Caenorhabditis elegans: one gene and its partners. The protein of the gene in region 3 purifies or fractionates together with the protein of the main gene of each other region. This does not show direct contact. Each region holds a gene or a part of one and is shown on either strand. Other genes may lie near its edges.

Region 1 (7,093 bases), 2.0 Mb from region 3:
TCAGCAATATTGGCGTTTTTCGCAAAACACTTTGTACATTTTACCTTAATTGGCAATTTCGGCAATTTTGGCAACTGCCAAAAAATTTCAAAAACTAGAAAAATTGTCAAAATTTATAGAAATCGGCAATTTCAGCAACTCCCGAAATTCTTAAAAATAGATTTTGGTCTCACTTGGGAAAGTCTATGCAAAATGCAGAACCATAAAGAACCAGTGTTACTGGCATAAAACTGACACAAATCGGAATTATAGTCTGAATAGTTAATGCCCAGAATAGTCGTTTTTGCATTTGCGCAGTTTTCAGACTCATAGTTGCCGACCCTTGATTTAAACCTGACATTATCTGAAACTGAATTAAAGTTTAAAATTTCAAATTAAAATTTTTAGAAACTCACTTTATAACCTAGGACAAAATATAAAGTCATAGAATAGGAAGCAATAACTGTCACAACTCCAGTTCCTATCCACGCTCGGAAAACTATTCCTGAAGAGGCTTCCTAAAAGAATTGCTTCGATTTTATTTTCAGAGACATTTACCGCATATACTGCAATTTTTGTACTAATTGTGTTCACATCCACGCCGTATTCTTCTTGAAAAGCTTGTCTCACGTAATTCCTTGATTCGTCGCTCGAATACATAGTTGGCTCGACTACAAACGTCCATAGACCGATATGGAATATCACAAGAAAAATCGATAATATCAGACCGTATGGCATGAAATAATGACTAACAAAACTTGTATTTTTCAGGACATTATAGCGAAAAATGAAATGAATGTTGAGGATTCCATAGGTTCCAGCAATAAACGCACATCGCAAGGATATTAAGGTAGGGGCAAAGTTGGAACGCTGAAAAAAGGAAAAAAGTATTCGAAAAAACTCAATTCAATTTTAACTATTTTAAAGGCTCGTAGTTGTGCTTCAAAAAGATTAATCACACAATACAAATTTTTTTTGGAAATGTTTGTTTTTTGTTGAAAAAAACTGTAACCTTTTTCAACAAAACCGGTCGAAATGTTTTAGTTTTTTTTTTAATTACTTGTTGTAGATTTTAATTATTCGGATAACAATTTATGTAAATATAATATTGTTTGAACTCGCAATTTGAATCTCTATCATTCAAGATATTACCTCTGAAAAAACACTATCTACAATGAAGAATACAGCCGCATAACGATAGCTATAAACACACTGAAAAAATTGAAAAGTTTGGATTTAAAAAATTGAAAAACTTACGGCTGGTATCAAAATATCCACAACTGATGCAGTAAGATTAAAAATTGCAAAAAAGTATAAAAGATAGCGATAATCACCGAATTGAATCACTTTTTCCGTACGTATCAGATATACGAATACAGGATTGGCTATGAAAGACAAGATAAACGTTATTTTGGGAATGATAAAGTGAGCCCAGTTGATAAACATGGAGTGCGTAGAATATTCACCGAAAGCAGCTTATATGTCAAATGACAAAATTTTGGTTCTGAGAAGAATGTGTTGATACGTGCCTAACAAAAGAGAATGTACCTAACATTAATCTCATTATACATACTAGGTTGTCTCATTTTTTGGCAAGTTTTCACAGACACCTTATTAGTTCCCACGATGACATGATGTAACAAGGACATAGCTCAAGCACGGAAAATTTCCAGTGAAGCGTGAGTAAGTAGCAGGTCAGTGAAATCTCTAGAAACTTTTCACACGCTTCGATACTTGAAAATTTTTTTTTTCGATTTTTGACAATTTTTCGAAATTGTTGAAATTACTGAAATCGGCAATGTTACCTGAATTGCCATAATTTTCAAAAATGCCGAAAATTTTCAAAAATCTTAAATTGCCAAGACTGCCCAAAATGTTAAAAAACTTCCGAAATTGCCAAAATTCATGATACTGCTGAAATTGGTGAAAGTTCTAAGTTTGTCCAAATTGCCCAAATATTTTAAAACTGCCAAAAAGTTTGAATTTGCGAACATTGAAAAAAATTGTCAGAAATCCTAGAGTTATCGAAATTACCAAAATTGACAACTTTGCCGATATGGATAAATTGTCAAAATTGCTGAAATTCGTGAAATTGCCAAAATTTTTCAAAATTGATGAATATGCCAAAATTGCCAAAATGGCTCTCACTAGCAAGATGCGCATCTGTTTCCCGAGTGAAAATAGTCAAGTTTTGTCCAAAAAAAACATATTTACTAAATATTTGTAAAAAAATCTTGCTTGGCAAATAAAACGAAAATTTAAAAAAAACTAATTAGACACACTTCCATGTGGAGACGTCACAGGTTCCACGATGATAGTCATTCTCCGTTGTGAAAATCGTTGTCCAGGGATCAGACTTTTAGTGAAATCTCTGTATGGTTTGTAAATAAAAAGGGTGCAACAGGTGCATAGAAGTCCGTGATTTGCCATAATTAGCATAGCGTTGTTGTTGTAGGCTGCAAAAGTTTGGAACGTGTTAGCCATGTTTTGGCTTTTTTAAATAATTTGCACTTTCTCACCTTGATTATAGTAATTCATTTTGTCTGCATACATAGTGTAGGCCACAGGAAATGCAATGGCAATCCATGGAATTGAGATCTAAAAAAACACATGCTAGAATTAAATGTTTAAAATTTTAAAAATTTTGTGGTTTTTCAATTTGTCAAAAACATTTTTAAATTTTTAAAATTGAAACAAACCCATTTAAATTTTTTTTGCATTTTTTTGCAGTTTCATTTGGCTATTCCAGTTAATTTTCAGTTATAGTTATACTCACCTGAATAGAAACATTCTTCAGAAACTTTCGCTGAAGATTCTTCGTCGCCGCCGATATTTTGGCACTTGATACTAGTGTGAGGTGATAAACGGTGTGTAACAAAAAGAAAAAAGTTTGGAAAATAACAAATCCAAAACCAATTGTGATTGACCAGAATGGCAAGACCTCTCCGCCCTGCAGCAGTACATAGGTTTTTGGGTCCCAGAATTCGCTCGTCGGACAGGGGATTCTCTGTAAAATTAAGTTGAATTTGAAGACGGGTGTTAAATACACACGACCGAAAAATATAATAAACACTTCAAAAGTTTTTAGTTATTCAAAAATTGACATTTTTGAAAAAAATTGAAAATTCCCGCAGATCTGAACTCCTAGAATGTTTCAATATTATTAATAAGAACGCAATTAATTCAAAAAAAATCTTTTGGTCGACTTCCAAAATTAGGATATGTGAAAACTGAGAGTTTTCACATTTTTGACTTTAAATATAAAATTTTATAAAATTTTTTGAACATTTCTAATATCTCTGAATGGGCATTTTAGTACATTTTACTAACCTCCAAGACCTTCTGTCTCATTTTCAATTGGTCAGTGTCGTCTAGATAAAATGGAAGCATAACAACAAATGTGAATAAATAGTTTAATGCGAAATATGTTAAACGAGTTTTTCTCCGTTTGATTTTGAATCGAATCGTGGAAATTTGACTATGTTGATTTTCATAGAGCATTATAAAACAGACACCCATCACTGAAAAACATGTGGTATTTGAAATTTATATTTAAATTTCCTAAAAGATCCTAAAACTTACTAGTGACGGAAACCTGTCCCCAATACGACTGCCACTTGACACCTACTCCCAAATATCCTAGAAGCCCAAGGGGTACTCCGGAGGCACTCGGAAAAAATATATACGGCCCCGAGTACACTGTGAACATCAAATCGAGATTTGTGCTCCAAGCCAGGGATATTAAAAGTGGGATTTTCATATTTTTCATCCGCTTTGGCGTCTTTGTTATAACTGTGTAAAATGTGAATATGGATAGAGGAACTGTTAAAAGTGCTGTGAAATGATATGCATTGCGCAGATAGTCTGCCGAGCCAAAATAGGAGTAGGTTTCCCGGCAGTTTGAGGTGTTGTTGTCTGGCCATGCCATTGGTTTCCTGGAAGATGTTTAATATAATAGGTTTCGATAGGAATTCCGAAAGTGTTCACAAGCTAAGCGTTACAAGAAAAATTCCTTAAAAAGCCAGAAAACCAGAGCCTAAAAGTTCAAAGCCCCATTTGCATGTAAAATGATCCGCGCGGTAGAGTTGGACGCGCCGAAAAATTCTTGATCGTTGATGTAATACCACCGTAATCCTGCTAATTTGATAATTTGAGGTGCGGAGTTTTCAATTTTTTTTTCTCGGAAATTTATTTTTCTAGGAGGCTCTGACTTGGAGTTTCGATGTAATGCTAAATGCTGTGTTAGTGATTAGGGACATTTAAAAAGGGAAATGTGTTTTGTGACAGATCAAATGATCATCTAGGTTGGCGATGCAAAACAATACGGCAAAAAAGTGTAAAAAACTGATGTCTTGCAGCGGACATTTCCCGGGTTAATTGGAAAGTAAATGGGACCCCACATCTTTCCTGATTTTTTGTCCGGAATAGAGGCTTTACCAGAAAAATCTTTACAATTAGTTCTTCAATTTTTACAGAAACCTTTTTATTTCAACATTTCAGAATCCTAGGTTCAACAGCTGGAAATTTATCAATTGGACAAAAACTTGGTTTTAATTCTATTCAAACAAGGGCCTATTCAAAAAAATTGAGCTTCTTATCCACCTAAAAGTAACGTTTGATCCAAATTATCGGGCTAAGAAAGGACTAAGAGTAGTCGGTGCTGAAGATGAAGTCAAAATTGAAAATCAAAGGTTTGGGGTACATGTCAAAAAAAACAATTGTAGGAATTGCTAGAAGAAACTCAGCGGATTCAGTTCGAATAGTTGTTTGAAAAAAGTAGATCCTCATAATTTGTTCGACTTCTAATTTGACCAGAAATCTACTACACCGCAGTAGAAATCAGGTATCCTGCTGTGTTTTGTCTGTGGCTTCTTAGCTGCCGAAGCGAGAAAAATGCAAACAAACTTCGAAAATGTCATAAATTTATGCTATTTTTGCAAACTTAGTGACGACCTAACAAATCTAGAAAAATTGAACTTTCTACCAAATCTAAGTAGATTTTTTTGGAAACCAATAGATTTAGTTATATTCCAAAAAACTACATACTTATGAAACTCAGAAGTAAAAGCTTTCAAAATGTGACTGAACTCGCCAAAAAGTTCAATAAAATGAGCCGCGCGGTAGTTGTTTCACGCCGATAAACATTTGATCGTTGATGTAATACATTTCCACAAACCTGCTAATTTGATCAATCGGGGTACACAAGTTTCCCAATTTCCTTATTTCTCAGAAATCGTTTCTCCAGAAGGTCGTGTTCAAGTACTTTTCTGACTTGAATTTTTGATTTATGGTTAATTGTAAATGTTTCGTGACCAGGAATCTTTCAGAGAAAAACTTCTTCTTCATCAAATTACATAATTAAATGTTATTTGAATATTTAAACAATCTGATACTTATTTTAAAAGTATGGTAAATTTTTGTAAAGTTTTTGAAAACCTCAGGGGTCCTGAAGCTGTTGTGTGGTCGATTTTTCAATTTTTGAGGTATCAGAATTTAATTATAGGTACGAAGTTTTTTTTTAAGAAAACCACTGTCTGGATAAAAAATTATTTTTCTGCAGTGTTCCTACATTTTTTGTACGAAAGTTTTCTGGCGCCAAAATGAAAGAATTTACATTTTTTAGATTTACCTTCCATTTGGTGTTTGCGAGTCATAAATCGAATTCCACTAAAATAACATTTGCACACAATTTAGCACAAAACTTTATAGCCGCTAATTAAATCTTGCAACTCATAGTTTGAGTCCAAAAATCTGCGAGGACATTGAGCCTTAGATATTTTAGTTTAACCGAAAAAAAAACTCAAAAACTAGCATTTGTCTACATGGTCAAAGTTCATCTCTCACAAAACCGAAAAAAAGTTTAATCTGTATTAATTTGTTTATCGAGAGATACCCTAATCGGCACGCGACCTCACAGTCTGGCGATCCTCCCATTTTCAACACTTGAACGAACAAATTACATTGCGGGCGTGCGCGGCAGTATATAAATTTTTGAGATTCACTTTTAGTGACCAAAATCTAGTACTTGTCAAAAATGGGTAGATTCTCTGATAAAGTTGCAATAATTACAGGTAAGGGTTTTTTTTAGAAAATGTAGTGAAATTTTTCATCCAGTACCTTCAGTCATTTTGTAAAATAGTCTGTTCAATTGGGGGAACATATTTGTTTGGAATTTATTAAGTTTAACTAGAGTAGCGTTGAAATACTGTAATGGTACTTTAGGGTTACTGTAGGATTACTGTAGGATTACTGTAGTTGAGTTAAGCTTTTGAAAATCTCTTTTTTTTATGTTTTGGCAGACCAATTTGGAGATAAAGTCTCTCAAAGTATAACGTTCAGGCTCATCTTCCGGAATTGGTCGCTCCACGGCAGTCCTCCTTGCTCAGGAGGGAGCTAAGGTTACGGTAACCGGAAGAAGCTCGGAAAAAATCCAGGAAACTGTGAATGAGATTCATAAAAACGGTGGCTCCAGTGACAACATCAACATTGTTCTCGGCGACTTGAATGAGAGCGAATGTCAAGATGAGCTCATCAAGAGCACTTTGAGCAGATTTGGTAAAATCGATATTTTGGTGAGATTTCTCGACTTTTTAAAATTTTTGACTGTTCCATTCAGATTAACAATGCTGGAGCGGCGTTTGCTGACCCATCTGGAAAAATTGGCTCCGAGGCGGCGATTGGCATTTTTGATGATATGATGAAGTTGAACTTGAGAAGGTATATTTTATTTACAGGGGATTTTTTTAATTGTAACTTATTTTAGTGTTGTGGAGCTTGTCAAAAAGTGTCGTCCGCACTTAATCGCTAGCAAAGGGGAAATCGTTAATGTTTCTTCAATTGCTGCTGGTCCACAACCGGTGAGTAAAAGCGGGCCAAAAGCGGGCCAAAAAACGGGCGGCAGAGGGCTAATAACAGGCAACACGATATTTTATCTAAAAATTCGATACAGTCGTCTGAAACAACTCCTCTACAACTTACAGTAACATCATTTTTTCAGTACATCTACTACACTTACTACGGAATCTGCAAGGCCGGCCTGGACCAGCTCACCAGGAGCTTAGCCTTGGAGCTGATTCCCTTCGATGTTCGTGTCAACTCCGTGAGCCCTGGACTC
Region 2 (6,229 bases), on a different chromosome or scaffold from region 3:
AGTTTTCGGAGTGTTTGATCGCTAGAGATTTCCTATAAAACCCACATTACTTTCAACAAAATGTGTTAAACTCTCAGCTGGGCCTCTCGAAAGTTCCCGTTTTTTTGGGGTTTAGTGTATTTTGGCATGTGTTTAGATCATTTTCTTGCCATAAAGTTTTCATTAAGCTCCAGGCATGTGTGCTTACCTACATACATACCTCGAACCTGTCTGGCCTACTTCAGGAGTTTGTTGGCACGAGGTAGGCCTAGATTGCCTTGAAGGCACACCGGCAGGCATCTTCTGTTGCTGATGTCACTAGGCTTCTCCTTTCACACTTACTTTAACCCCCATTTCCTGCTTAACCATTCATATATATGTATAATACAGTGAAAAACCTCCCAACCATAAAAAGTTAATCATCATCACTGTAAAAAAAAATTGACAAAAAATCCAGTCCCATCTATTTCCTCCATCATCTCTAAATCGCGTATTACCGAATATTCGCATCATATAGACCGTGTCGTGTTTTTTTTCTATGTTGGAAAGGATAGGGATTGATGTACTTATGTATAATGGGGGAAACGAGACTCGAGATTTTTTTTATTCGCTTTTGTTTTTTACAGTTTTCACTGTTTTGTAGGGAATTTCAATGTTATTTTTTTAATACTAAGTTACAAAACTATAGAAAAAATTGAAATTTATTTTTTCAGCTGACAATTTTCAATCAAAACTAAAGACAAGGTGCATCACATTTCTAGGACCCACATTTCTTATAAGTTTCTCAAAACAATTAAAGTGGATGTCTTCCACACAAAACTGCTTCCACGTCGTTTCCATATGGTTTTTCATCGTCTGTATAAGCCTGCACTGCATTTTTTCCCACACAAAACTCCAAACTTCCCCAATTCTTTCTTGTTTCTGTGCCATTAGCCTTGACAATTCCAGATTTTAGAACAATGCAATCAGCGGCGAATCGGAATCTGTAATATTTGATTTTTTATGATTTCACGCTATTTGATAATTATGTCTAATTTACATTGGACCATTGTCAGCTTGATGAACCATATAAGCAGCTGGAAGTCGACGTTTGTAATGGCTCAGCATGAATGTAGTGTCACTATTGACATCATCGAACAAAAATAGATTATTCTTGATATTACAATCTCCTTTTTCTTCTGTACTGTTGAATCGATGACGAAGTATGATTTCGACTTTATTAATACGACCGTTGCATTTTGGAGAAATTTGACCGTCAACAGCATAAGGAGCTTCAATTCCATGAGCTCGGGCGATTTCTGAAAGTTTTTGAAGATTACAACACTGAAAATGTTTTTATTGAAAAATATCCCTACCAGAAAACACTTGAATCTCGTGCTCATTTTCTGGAATGGTCAATGAAGCGTTCACATAACTGCAAAATGATCGAGCTCGGTCTCGGTTTCCCATGTTCTTGAATTGGAAAACCTGAAATATGGTCATAAAGCATTATGAACACAAAACCCAAAACTTGGAACTTACGCCCAAACACCAGTCCTTTGTATGATTGTTCCTTGCAGTTGGGACTCTCTTGACATGAGAAAACCCTTCTGGGCATTGTGGATCCTTTGCGAAAACCGCAGTCAAAAATAGCAAAAAGAAAACGAACATTTTTCTGTCAGTTTTGAAAAGTTTCGGCGGGGTTTTGTACCTATTGAAATCGATAAAATTGTGACTAAGCCATGCGGAGCCATTATTTTCCGACAGCATTTGATCGTTTCAACAAAAGCGTGATGTTCAACAACACCCACAAAATGCTCTACCGTAGTATTTATTCTTCTAAACATTTTGATTTGGACGTAGCAGATGCTTGTTGTACCTATTTTCTTGAGGTTTATCATAAATTATACATTATAAATTTACTCTAAAAGTTTTCCGGAAGCCAAAAAAGAGATAATGTAGAGCTCTCCGATTTTTCTTGACACAGAAAATAGGAAGCTTTGAGAAATTTTTTACAATTTTTAGGCCGTATTATCAACAAGATGGAACTTAAAAACGAAAAGTTCGAGACGAAAGTTAAGATGAATTAATTGACTTTTAGTTTACAAAAATGGTATACACACTTGTCAAAACTCTGTAAAAGGAAATGTTTCGTTGCGAAAATGATTTAATTGTAAACCCGCACAGGGATTTTCGTCGCCTAAGAATAACCTGAAGTTCACTTGCGGAAACAAATTGGGTGTACCTTATCTTTTCAATCAGCTAAGGTAATAAGAAATATCAGAAAGATTTCGGAAATATAATATTTATTAAATATTGAAAATTAATCTTTCCAGAAATGATAGAATACATTTACTTAGAACGGCAATCGGCCACAAAGAACGGCGGTGACATTTTTTTCTGGTAGCCTCTTGGAGCCAGCTAGCTGTCCCATACAATCCATCAAATTAGTGTGCCCATCTTTTAGTGTTCCATTAGAATAGTGATACGATCCTTTTTCCAAAACGGTACAATCTGCTGTACTGCGATACCTGAAAATGAAATGTTGGATGCAAATAGGAAAGTCGATTTTCAAAACTTACTCGATATCATCATCAGCTTGTACACTTCTTACGTTTGATCCTGCCGAAACACCTAGCTTTGTGCGAATGAATGAAGTATCCGTATTAATATCATCATATATGAACAATTCATATTTAATATTGCAAATTCCTTCTTCAGAAGTTTGATTAAATCGTTTTGCACCCTTTACTTGTCCTTTGTAAATTGCGAATTTGCATCTTGGAGAGAGTTGTCCATCAAGAGCGATTGGTACGGAAATGTTTCTCAAGCTAGCAGTCTCTGGAAATTTTACATTTTTCCGCATGCAGCAATAAAAAAATCCTCAAAAACTTACTAGAAATCACTTCGAGTTCGTGTGAATTTTCTGGAATACTCAACGACGCATTGTAATAGATACATACTGAACGGGCTCGGTCGCGATTTCCCAGATCCGTTTCATTGAAAATCTTGAAATATCATTTTAAAACTATTTAGGTGTCATTGATATGAACAACTTACCCCCAAGCACCATCCCTTTGTAAAGTTATTTTTTGCCGTCGGTGTTCTCTTGAAATACGTAAAGTTTCCCGGGCATCTTGGATCCTTCGCAGAAAATTCTGGGACTGCCAAAAATAGTAGGAATAGAACTAACATTTTATACTGAACTTCATAGAAGGCTTTCAGCATGCTTTTGTACTAGTCAAAAGCTATAAAACAGTTGTTCGCCCCCTGTAGCGTTTCCGATTCTGCGGAGCCATTATTCCCCGAATACATCAAAATGATACTGTATCTCGGGGCTGGATAGCGGAAACGACGCATTATATTTCTTCATCAGGTTGGATGATTTCATTCAAAGAAATTCTTATATAACACGTAGGTTGATAGAAGTTGTCAAGAATATTGAAACCATGCGCTTTGAAACAAAAAAATATCTGATCTAATAAAGATTCTAACAAAAGTACCCTCATTTTCAGCCCTTTTATCAAAAACATTTAACACCAAAACTGTAGAGAAATTTGTAACACATTCTTTGTCAGCTTATAATTTTTGGTAAAACAAAACACAACCTAGTTATTAGCCGTCAAAATTGAGCAACTGAGTGCAAGCCTATGACTAACATAAGGCCCTCTTGCTTGTTATGATACCTATCCAAAAATTTATGTACACAAACATTTGTGGTTGAAAACAAGACTTTGAAGCTAGATTTTTTAAAACCAAGCTTTTGTCGGCTTCCGAGGTAGAATATAAAATGATTTACAAGAATAAGTTTTTTTTTGATTTCAAGCTTCGAAACTCTTGATTTGTTACAGGGTAGTTTACTTTTAAAATAGTCCTGTCTCTGTAAATTTTGAAATATGATTAGCTCCAATCTTTAGCTATCAAAAAATACTTATTATGAAAATTATGCATATCCTCGACTGATGTTTGTTGCAAAATTGGTATTTTCTGATATAATCACAAGTGATGAATTCGAACAACAACTCCAAAATATTTATTAACAACTGTCTTTTCTGATCAATTAACTCAGAGAGGGAATCTTCCACAAAGAACACTACTATATTCGTGTTTATTTTGCTTATCCTTTTCCCCAAAGCATCCGAGCAATTCAGTTCGTCCATCTACCGCATAGAAATGTGTTCCATTAGAAAAGTAATAGTATGCATCTGTTAATGCGTTACAATCTCTGGTGAAACGAAATCTGTAAATTGAATTCTAGACTTGTTTGACGTTGAATCTAGAAATTTTCATACACTTACTTTACTCCGTCCTCCTGACTGGAGTATCCTCCATTAGTTCCAGCCGAAGTACCTAGTTTGGAACGGATAAATAAAGTATCTGTATTGATATCATCATATACAAACAAATGATTGTTAATATTGCAATCTCCTTCCTCTGTTCTTTGGTCAAAATATTGTTGGCTCTGTTCGCCTCTGAAAATAAGGGCCTTGCATCTTGGAGAGAGTTGTCCGTCGAGTGCAATCGGGAGGGAAATGTTCCGTGCGCGAATAACGTCTAAAAATTAATTACACATTTAGAAGCATATTTTTCCTAGCGATTTTGAATTGAAGACATGTCTTTAAAAAAAAACATGATCAACTTACCAGAAACAATCTCAAGTTCATGTGAATTTTCTGGATTGCTCAGCGAAGCGTTATGATAGAGACAGACTGAGCGGGCTCGGTCACGATTTCCCACATCCGTTCCATTGAAAATCTTGAAAGTGTATTTTAAAACTGGGTACTGTCTCTATCAATAACGTACCCCCAAGCACCACCCCTTTGTAAAATTATTCTTAAAAGTTAGTGTTCTTTTGACAAAAGTAAAGTTTTTTGGGCATCTTGGATCCTTTGCAGAAACCGCCGGAACAACCAAGAATAGTAAGAATAAAACTAACATGTTATGAAGAGTTCAAGAAGAAGCTTTCAGTATGCTTTTGTACTAGTCAAAAGCTATAAAAAAGCTGTACATCCCTTCAATGATTCCGTTTCTGCGGAACCATTATTCCCCGAATACATCAAAATGATACGGTATCTCGGGGGCTGGGCGGAAATGACGCATTTTATTTTTCTACCTATTTTTCAACTTTTTCTAGAGGGAAAATTTTTTATAACACAAAAAAAATCGAGTCATGATATACATTTTCAAACTAGGCATACATTGTAAGAACAATTTATATTGTGCCTCGAGGACAGATTTCTCTGAAAAATCTTCAAAAAATTCAAAAATTGTTTATACATTTGGCACTAGTTAAATAATTTTATACTGGAGCACATCCACACAGAACTCCGAAGAATGGCACCTCGCCGACTTGTTTGTCTGGTTCTTCGCCGCACCTGAAATTTTTTTAGTTTTGGGTTTGAAAATCCTGCAAAAAAAAAACTCACAAAAAATCCTTCAAATTTCCAGTATTCTTGATTGCCTGGAGATTATGTAGAGATAGACATTCAGCGATTGTGAAAATTTCTCTGAAAACTAGAACATGAAGCTTTTATCCCACTGGGTTCCTTACGTAGAGTCCCCCTTCTCCTGATACTTGTCTGATGAAGTTGGCGGTTCTCCAGACCACTTTGTGAGAATGAACGCTGGATCGGTGTGATCGTCCTCCAGAATAAATAGCTAAAACGATCGGGATACTTGAAACACACTTTTCGAAACAAAAACCTCTTTTTCTTTTGCGCAAAGTCCTCCAAACTTTCTCATTCGCCAGTCGCTGAAACCTCGGCATTTTGGATTGAACACTCCGTCCACTGCGACTCGTTTATTGTTTTTTCGAATTAAAGCTGAAATTTGTGTTCAGTTTTAACTTGCCTAAAAGTTGTTTGTCAGTTTCTGTCGGCTTTGTTGTGCCTTTTAGCATTTACATTCAATAACAATGACGTTGCATTTACATAATTTGTTTGATAAATGATAACAGTGATTGGCTTTAAGCATGTTAGTAAATACATAACTTTCAGAAAAGTTTTAGCCGCCGGCTCTATTTTTTCACATTTTCCAAATTTTTCAAAAAACCAGAAAATTCGCTTTCCAAAATAGTACGAATGCTAATCGCTGCCTCCAGGTGTTTGTTCAGCTTGCGAGAATTTGTAAAATGGCATCACGCCGATCGTATTTTTAATAAGAGACGAGAAGGGCGGGTAGGCCCTATTCTACTTGTCTGCCTACAGGCCTACTTACTGTCTTCTTTTTTTGTCATTTGAAGTATTTAGTTTCAGTAAAATTTAGAAAAAAT
Region 3 (6,767 bases):
TCGAGGTGTTATGCTCATGGTCAGTTTTAGTTACTATCTTGAATTTGCAATTAATATTGGAGAAAATTTCAGCAGGAACTGGTTACTGAGCGATCAATGCACCCGAAAAGTAAACCAATGGAGAAGAATCGTTTACTTGTATGTTTATAAGAATGGAACGATTTTGAGCATTTGAAAATGTTATTTACAGGGTGAAGAAATGGCAAAATTGAACCCTAACGATTTTCTGAACCACAAACTGCTGGAAGTTTCGAGTTTGGATCAAACTGGTATACCAAGAACATAAATAAAAACCGCCCCCAAGAACATTCTATTTCAGTGTTTATCAACGTCAATCTCGTGTTTTCGGCGCTGAGCATTCAACATGGCTCGGTTAGATCAATTGTCAATGCTATGTCAAATCACTGGATTGACTACGTGAGCGATCAAATATTACGTTCTATTTTTGACTATTTAACATTTCAGCTGATTCCGAGAGAGCAACAAGGATCCTTCACGACAAGCAAAAAGACGGAGCCTCTTACTTTCTTCCCAGGAGACTTGACAAATTGGCCAGCCGGTTAGTTTATGATTTACATGGGCGAGCCACATAAAAATCGTTTTCAGCTCTTCTCGCTGCGGCAATCAAGTTGGACAACGACCAGGTGGACGTTACTCGCCTTCCAAGTGTGGTCAATATGCTGTTCAAGCATCATATCAAAGTCAGATTGTAGGTTTCTTGTTATTTACTTTAAAAAGCCAGCGAATAGAATTTTTCTTTAACTTGAAAAACTATGTTTTCACAAATGTCTTTTTGCAGCGATCATGCCCGTGGTTTGTATCGAACAAAACACGACGGCCAGAATCCACCAAAAATTGTGCTGCCAAAGCGTCCCATCATCGATTGCACACAATTCTACAAGAGCAGCGAGGATATCGATGAGGAGCAAGTTCCATCAACTTCGAACTTTCAATCATCTTCGAACTCTCTATCAACTTCGAAATCTGCTGGAAGGGAAAATATCCCAGACTCCCCATAAATTCACTAGTTCTCCTGTTTTCTGATACTTTCGAAACTTGTTTTTTTGTTTTTTTTTCCATTTTTCGTTAAATGTTTTTTTTCTGTTGTTTTTTCATTTTGTTTCATTTTCATAATAAATCGTGTTATTTTTTATGGTTTTATAAAAGTTTAATCCAATATGAAAGCAAAACTAGCTAGCAAGAAAGCATAACTACGTAGCAAAACATCACCGCTAATCAGCGGAAAAGCACAATTACTGCGGTTGACTAAGCCGTGACATAAATGCTAATTAGCAGTGATTTTCTATCGCTCTGCCGTGACTCCAGTCTATCTGAGGGGTACTGTAGGGGTACTGTAAGGGTACTGTAGTTTAGGAAAAATTGACTTTTCGTGTTTAGGAAGAATATTGGCTTGGGGTTAGACTGTCGCAGTACTGTAGAGGTAGTGTAGGATTACTGTAGTCTTGGAATATCTGACTTTTCGTTTTTTGAGAGGATATTGGTTTGGATTTAGTGGGGTTAGATGGTCGCAGTACTGTAAGGGTACTGTAGGATTACTATAGTTTAGAAAAAATTCACTGAAGTTTAAAGGAAAAGTCGTGGTGAGACCTATCATGGCTAAAGCCATTCGTTTTGGCGGGAATTCAAATTTTCTGACTATGAGAAAAAATTTTGGCAAGAAATTCAATTTCTGAGAAAATAAAACTTTCTAGAAAAATTTTGAAAATTGTGGAATTAATATAATAAAAATTTTAAAACGTTAACCTTTTTCAGCCATTCATTTCTTAAAACAAAATCACTCCGAAAAACGTTGATCTGGCTCTTGATTCCTGTTATCTACGGTTTCCTCTGGGCAGTCAATTTATATTGTACACTATGGGTCAACACGGATACTGAACAGATATTACAGGGGTGAGTAAAATGAAATGCTTGTTGTACTCTGTTGAACTTCTCAGGAATGGGTATTTACGCGAGAATAAGTTAAACATATCCGACGTAACATATATTGGGCCCAACTATTGGAAACTTGATGAAAATAGAAATGAAGTTATAAATTGGAGAACAATGTTGGGAATGTCTATTGCATCGACACTGATCTCGATTTCCTTCGCAATGATTGTCATTTTTGCAACTTTAAGCTACAAAGAGGTCTCCAAGCTAACCGAGCTGACTTCCCACTCCGAAAAATTCCGTTCAATTCAACTGCAACTTTTAAATTCTTTGGTGTTGCAATCACTTGTCCCGGCGTTTTTCATACAGTTGCCATCGTTCGTCCTATTTCTGGCGCCTTTTTTTCATTGTGGAAGGCCAGTGTTTGGCGAGATAATTGGTGTGACGGTTGCTCTATACCCAGTCTTGGACTCACTTCCAACAATTTTAGTGATCAAGGCTTTCCGTGAAGCAATATTTCGTGAGTAAAAGTTGCCAGCCAAATAAGTTGAGTGTATTTTCCAGATTGTTGCCCATTCACTAATAAAAATGCTACACTTCCCACATCCGTAGCACTGGTTACTATTCAATAATAATACATTCAATTTAAATGATAGAAAATGGACTGTATAACTTAATCGAAACTTGTTTTTACACTTTGCAAGAATCTGATTATTTTAAAATTTTTGTAGATCACAACGATATGGGACATTATGACACCACGAGAGAAATGTCTGAAAATTTACACACATCAAAGTATATACAATAAATCGGTCATTACGGCTCATTTTCTATCTTTTAAAGTAAACATTTTGCGTCAAGAATACGGTAGCCGGTCTCGACACGACAAGCCTTTGTCAAATGAGAAAAGGTGTGCGCCTTTAAAGAGTACTGTAATTTCGAGCTTTTGTTGGTACGGAACTTTTATCGATTTTTTTTTAGAATTTACGTGTTTTTATTTGTTTTATTCAAGTCTTTTTATTAAATAATAACAGTTGAGACGAAAATATGAAAACTCGATGAAAATTCCACAACAACAAGAGTTTGACGCTACAGTAATCTTTAAAGGAGCACACCCGATTACATTAAACAAAAATAGTCGCGTCCAGACCTGGTACCATATTTTTGACCAAAAATATTCATTATTCCGCGAATTAATGATAACAAAAGTCAGAATTTTGTTTAGTTTCGGGAAAATTCGGAGCAAAATTCAGAAAAATTCAAAATTTGACTCGATGCTCGTTATTTTCCGGAGTATCTGTATTTTTATCGTGAAATCCAGTTCACATTGGGTATTCCGGGCGCCTTTACTTTTCTTTTTTAAATTTCCTAATCAATTTCTATATTTTTATGTATAAAAATCGATCTAAAACGAAACGGGTATTATTTAAAATTCAAGCGTCTCCCGCCAAGCGATTATTTTCTCTGCGTCTCTCTCCTTCGCACACTCTCTGCCTCGCTCGCTCAATAGAGCGCGTTTGCCATTGGCAAATTTTCTCGAAGAATTCCTCATTTTCTCGATTCATTTCCTTCTTTTCATCGTTTCTGCTCACTTTTATCTCATTTTTTTTTCAGATTTTTTCAATATTTCGGCAAAAATGACGGACGCCGTAAGTTTTTCAACAATTAATCAATAAAATTCAACTAAAATTCCCTATTTTCAGGCGATTGCTGAAAAAGATCTCGGAAATGCTGCCTACAAGCAAAAGGACTTTGAAAAAGCTCATGTTCACTACGACAAAGCGATCGAGCTTGATCCTAGTAATATTACCTTCTACAACAACAAAGCCGGTAGGTTTTTATTTAAAAAAAACTGTAGATTTTCCCTAATTTTCCGAATTTCAGCCGTCTATTTCGAGGAGAAAAAATTCGCGGAATGTGTGCAATTCTGCGAGAAAGCCGTCGAAGTTGGACGCGAGACCCGTGCCGATTACAAGCTTATCGCCAAGGCCATGTCTCGTGCCGGAAACGCTTTCCAGAAGCAGAATGACTTGAGTTTAGCCGTCCAATGGTTCCACCGCTCGCTCTCCGAGTTCAGAGACCCCGAGCTTGTCAAGAAAGTCAAGGAGCTCGAGAAGCAGTTGAAGGCGGCCGAGCGTCTTGCCTATATCAATCCAGAGCTTGCCCAGGAGGAGAAGAACAAGGGAAACGAGTATTTCAAGAAGGGCGACTATCCGACAGCGATGAGGCACTACAACGAAGCGGTGAAGCGTGATCCGGAGAACGCGATTTTGTACTCAAACCGGGCCGCGTGTCTGACGAAATTGATGGAATTCCAGAGAGCTCTTGATGATTGTGACACTTGTATTCGGCTGGACTCGAAATTTAGTACGATTTTCTAATTTTTTTGCTCAGAATTAACTAAAAATTGTATTATTTCAGTCAAGGGATACATCCGCAAAGCCGCTTGCCTCGTCGCAATGCGTGAGTGGTCGAAGGCTCAGCGAGCCTACGAAGATGCTCTCCAAGTCGACCCATCCAACGAAGAAGCCCGTGAAGGTGTGCGTAACTGTCTGCGAAGCAACGACGAGGATCCCGAGAAGGCCAAGGAGAGAAGTCTCGCCGATCCAGAAGTTCAGGAGATTCTCCGCGACCCAGGAATGCGTATGATTCTCGAGCAGATGAGCAACGACCCGGGAGCCGTGCGAGAGCACTTGAAGAATCCGGAGATCTTTCAGAAACTCATGAAGCTCCGCGACGCTGGAGTCATTCAGATGCGCTAATTATTTGATTGCTCCCGGTTTTTCACCCATTATTTGATTTTTATTTGAATTTTTCTCCCCCCCCCCCCCCCCATGGTCTGTGTTTTTTGCATCTCGCTCGTCCTCTGGACTCGTCTTCAAAATATAAAAATATATTTATCGTCGTCGCAACTAAAAGACAAACAAAATCTCATTAATTTCAGACATTTTTTTGTACTTCGCACTACAAAATTGTTCATTCGACTGGAAGCTGAACCAAAAAATTCGTCGAAAACAAAAAAGTCACAACTTCCTTCCCTTATGTCTTCTTTGGTGACGTCGGTAGCGATTTCAGCGATTTTTTTCACCGAAATCAACGTTTTTCTGAATTTCTACCTGCTTTCTCAAATATTTATACGAAAGAAAATCCAGAAAAAGCCAGAATTATCACTGATTTATTGCCGTTTTCTAATCGACGTGATTTATTCTTTCGATAGTGAGTTATTTTTAAGCGGAATCTAGGAAATTTCTCCAAATTTGCCCGATTCTGCTCGAAATCGCGAGTTTCTTTCCCCAAAACCATTTTCAAACGCGCGCCAGGGACATTCTCATTGGAGCGCGCCGCGTGTGTCGATTTACGAGAGTTCGCATTTTTCTCGAGTTTTTTGCGGAAAAAATCGAAATTTCAATGTTTGAAGCGAGAAAAAGTGATGAAAAAAAAGGAAATTCATTGAAAAAATCGGAAATCTGAAAAATAAAATTTTCTTATAACCTGAAACATGGTAAAATCTTAATGTAAGTGTTCAAATTATCAGTCATACGTAAAAAACGGAAAAATTATCGGCAATTTGCCGGTTTGTCGGAAATTTCGAATCCGGCAATTTGCCGATTTACCCGAAATTTCGATTCCGGCAATTTGCCGGTTTGCCGGAAAATTCAATTTTAGCAATCTGCCGATTTGCCGGAAATTTTCAATTCCGGCAATTTGCCGGTTTGCCGGAAATTTAAATTTCGCCAATTTGCCGATTTGCCGGAAATTTCAATTTCGGCAATTTGCCGATTTGCCGGAAATCTTCAATTCCGGCAATGTTCACGTCACATATTTCTGGCGAAAAAGTTCCCGCATTTATTGTAGATCACACCGAAATGGGACAGCCTGGCACCGGGATTCCCAGTCAGGGGTTGGCGGCAAACAACTTTTCCGGCAAACCGGCGAATTGCCGGAATTGAAAATTTCCGGTAAATCGGCCAATTGCTGGAATCGAATTTTCCGGTAAATCGGCCAATTGCCGGAATTGAAGATTTCCGGCAAACCGGCAAATTTCCGAAATTGAAGATTTCCGGCAAATCGGCAAACCGGCAAACTGCCGGAGTTGAAATTTCCGGCAAATTGGCAACAAACAAGAATTAAAAAAAAACAATTTCAGCATCAATATTTTTGATTTATTCCCTGATAAAAACGCTTTTTCCCGAGTTTTCTGTGAAAAACCTGGCATATTTCGTCGCTTGGCCCGGCTTCAACTTGGGAACTATTCGCTGCTGGATTGTATTTTTTATAACATCCGATAGAATTTTCGCAACATGCGCTCCGATTTCATATCACAATCATCGATTCAAAATTCCGCTCGCCGTGATTATCATCCTCATCTCCGCGTACACAATTCTCGAGCAATATATTTTATTCGGATATTGCGATTTTGTTCTAGACGTTCCCGCCGATTGTGCCATTTTCCGGTGTGCAATTAATATTTGCTATCACGAGTATTGGAAAACTTTTTCGCAGGTTTCAATTTGCAGTGGTGGTGCCGCACAGAAAAAGAGGCGGACACGTGGTGTCAGGCTGTCTCATTGCGGTTTGATCTACAAAAAATGCGGGAATTTTTTTCCTAGAAAAATTGTGACGTCAGCACGTTCTTAACCATACGAAATCAGTTGAGAACACTACGTATCATTCTCCCGCATTTTTTGTAGATCAAAGCGAAATGGGACTTTCTGTTTAGACGTGGGCGGAGCGGCGTTTTGCAAACTTTTTGGAGAAAACTAGAATTTGTTGCTTTTCAGGGAAAATCATATTTTCTTGCCGCAGGTTTGCAAAACGACGCTCCGCCTCTTTTTCTGTGCGGCACTGCAAAATCAGCAGCTTGATCGTTTCGTTTT

The links. The genes of interacting proteins can lie anywhere in the genome.
Region 1: the proteins of sti-1 (region 3) and srh-56 fractionate together in Caenorhabditis elegans (co-fractionation; one large-scale study listed by BioGRID). This does not show direct contact.
Region 2: the proteins of sti-1 (region 3) and clec-137 fractionate together in Caenorhabditis elegans (co-fractionation; one large-scale study listed by BioGRID). This does not show direct contact.

What each region holds. Positions count from the first base shown.
Region 1 is NC_003283.11:2,768,674-2,775,766, reverse strand, and holds srh-56 (Serpentine Receptor, class H), read right to left. Parts: upstream 3,908-7,093; coding exon 3,562-3,907; intron 3,501-3,561; coding exon 3,310-3,500; intron 2,987-3,309; coding exon 2,756-2,986; intron 2,578-2,755; coding exon 2,499-2,577; intron 2,436-2,498; coding exon 2,248-2,435; downstream 1-2,247. Other genes in the region: srj-18 (Serpentine Receptor, class J), read right to left, coding at 174-349, 396-497, 538-849, 1,132-1,191, 1,237-1,425; dhs-15 (DeHydrogenases, Short chain), read left to right, coding at 6,014-6,050, 6,319-6,551, 6,596-6,696, 6,743-6,836, 6,977-7,093.
Region 2 is NC_003280.10:4,614,905-4,621,133, forward strand, and holds clec-137 (C-type LECtin), read right to left. Parts: upstream 3,187-6,229; coding exon 3,019-3,186; intron 2,967-3,018; coding exon 2,855-2,966; intron 2,800-2,854; coding exon 2,541-2,799; intron 2,490-2,540; coding exon 2,315-2,489; 3' UTR 2,248-2,314; downstream 1-2,247. Other genes in the region: clec-136 (C-type lectin domain-containing protein), read right to left, coding at 773-962, 1,019-1,277, 1,335-1,446, 1,501-1,629; clec-138 (C-type LECtin), read right to left, coding at 4,024-4,198, 4,257-4,512, 4,602-4,713, 4,762-4,896; clec-139 (C-type lectin domain-containing protein), read right to left, coding at 5,258-5,333, 5,385-5,465, 5,510-5,616, 5,662-5,780.
Region 3 is NC_003283.11:770,064-776,830, forward strand, and holds sti-1 (Stress-induced-phosphoprotein 1), read left to right. Parts: upstream 1-3,454; 5' UTR 3,455-3,527; coding exon 3,528-3,539; intron 3,540-3,593; coding exon 3,594-3,720; intron 3,721-3,774; coding exon 3,775-4,257; intron 4,258-4,311; coding exon 4,312-4,652; 3' UTR 4,653-4,712; downstream 4,713-6,767. Other genes in the region: str-238 (Seven TM Receptor), read left to right, coding at 1,774-1,911, 1,956-2,410, 2,455-2,522; srbc-58 (Serpentine Receptor, class BC (Class B-like)), read left to right, coding at 4,932-5,106, 6,038-6,393. UniProt on the Caenorhabditis elegans protein: Plays a role in gonad development. Up-regulates longevity and thermotolerance. Binds daf-21/hsp90 and inhibits its ATPase activity.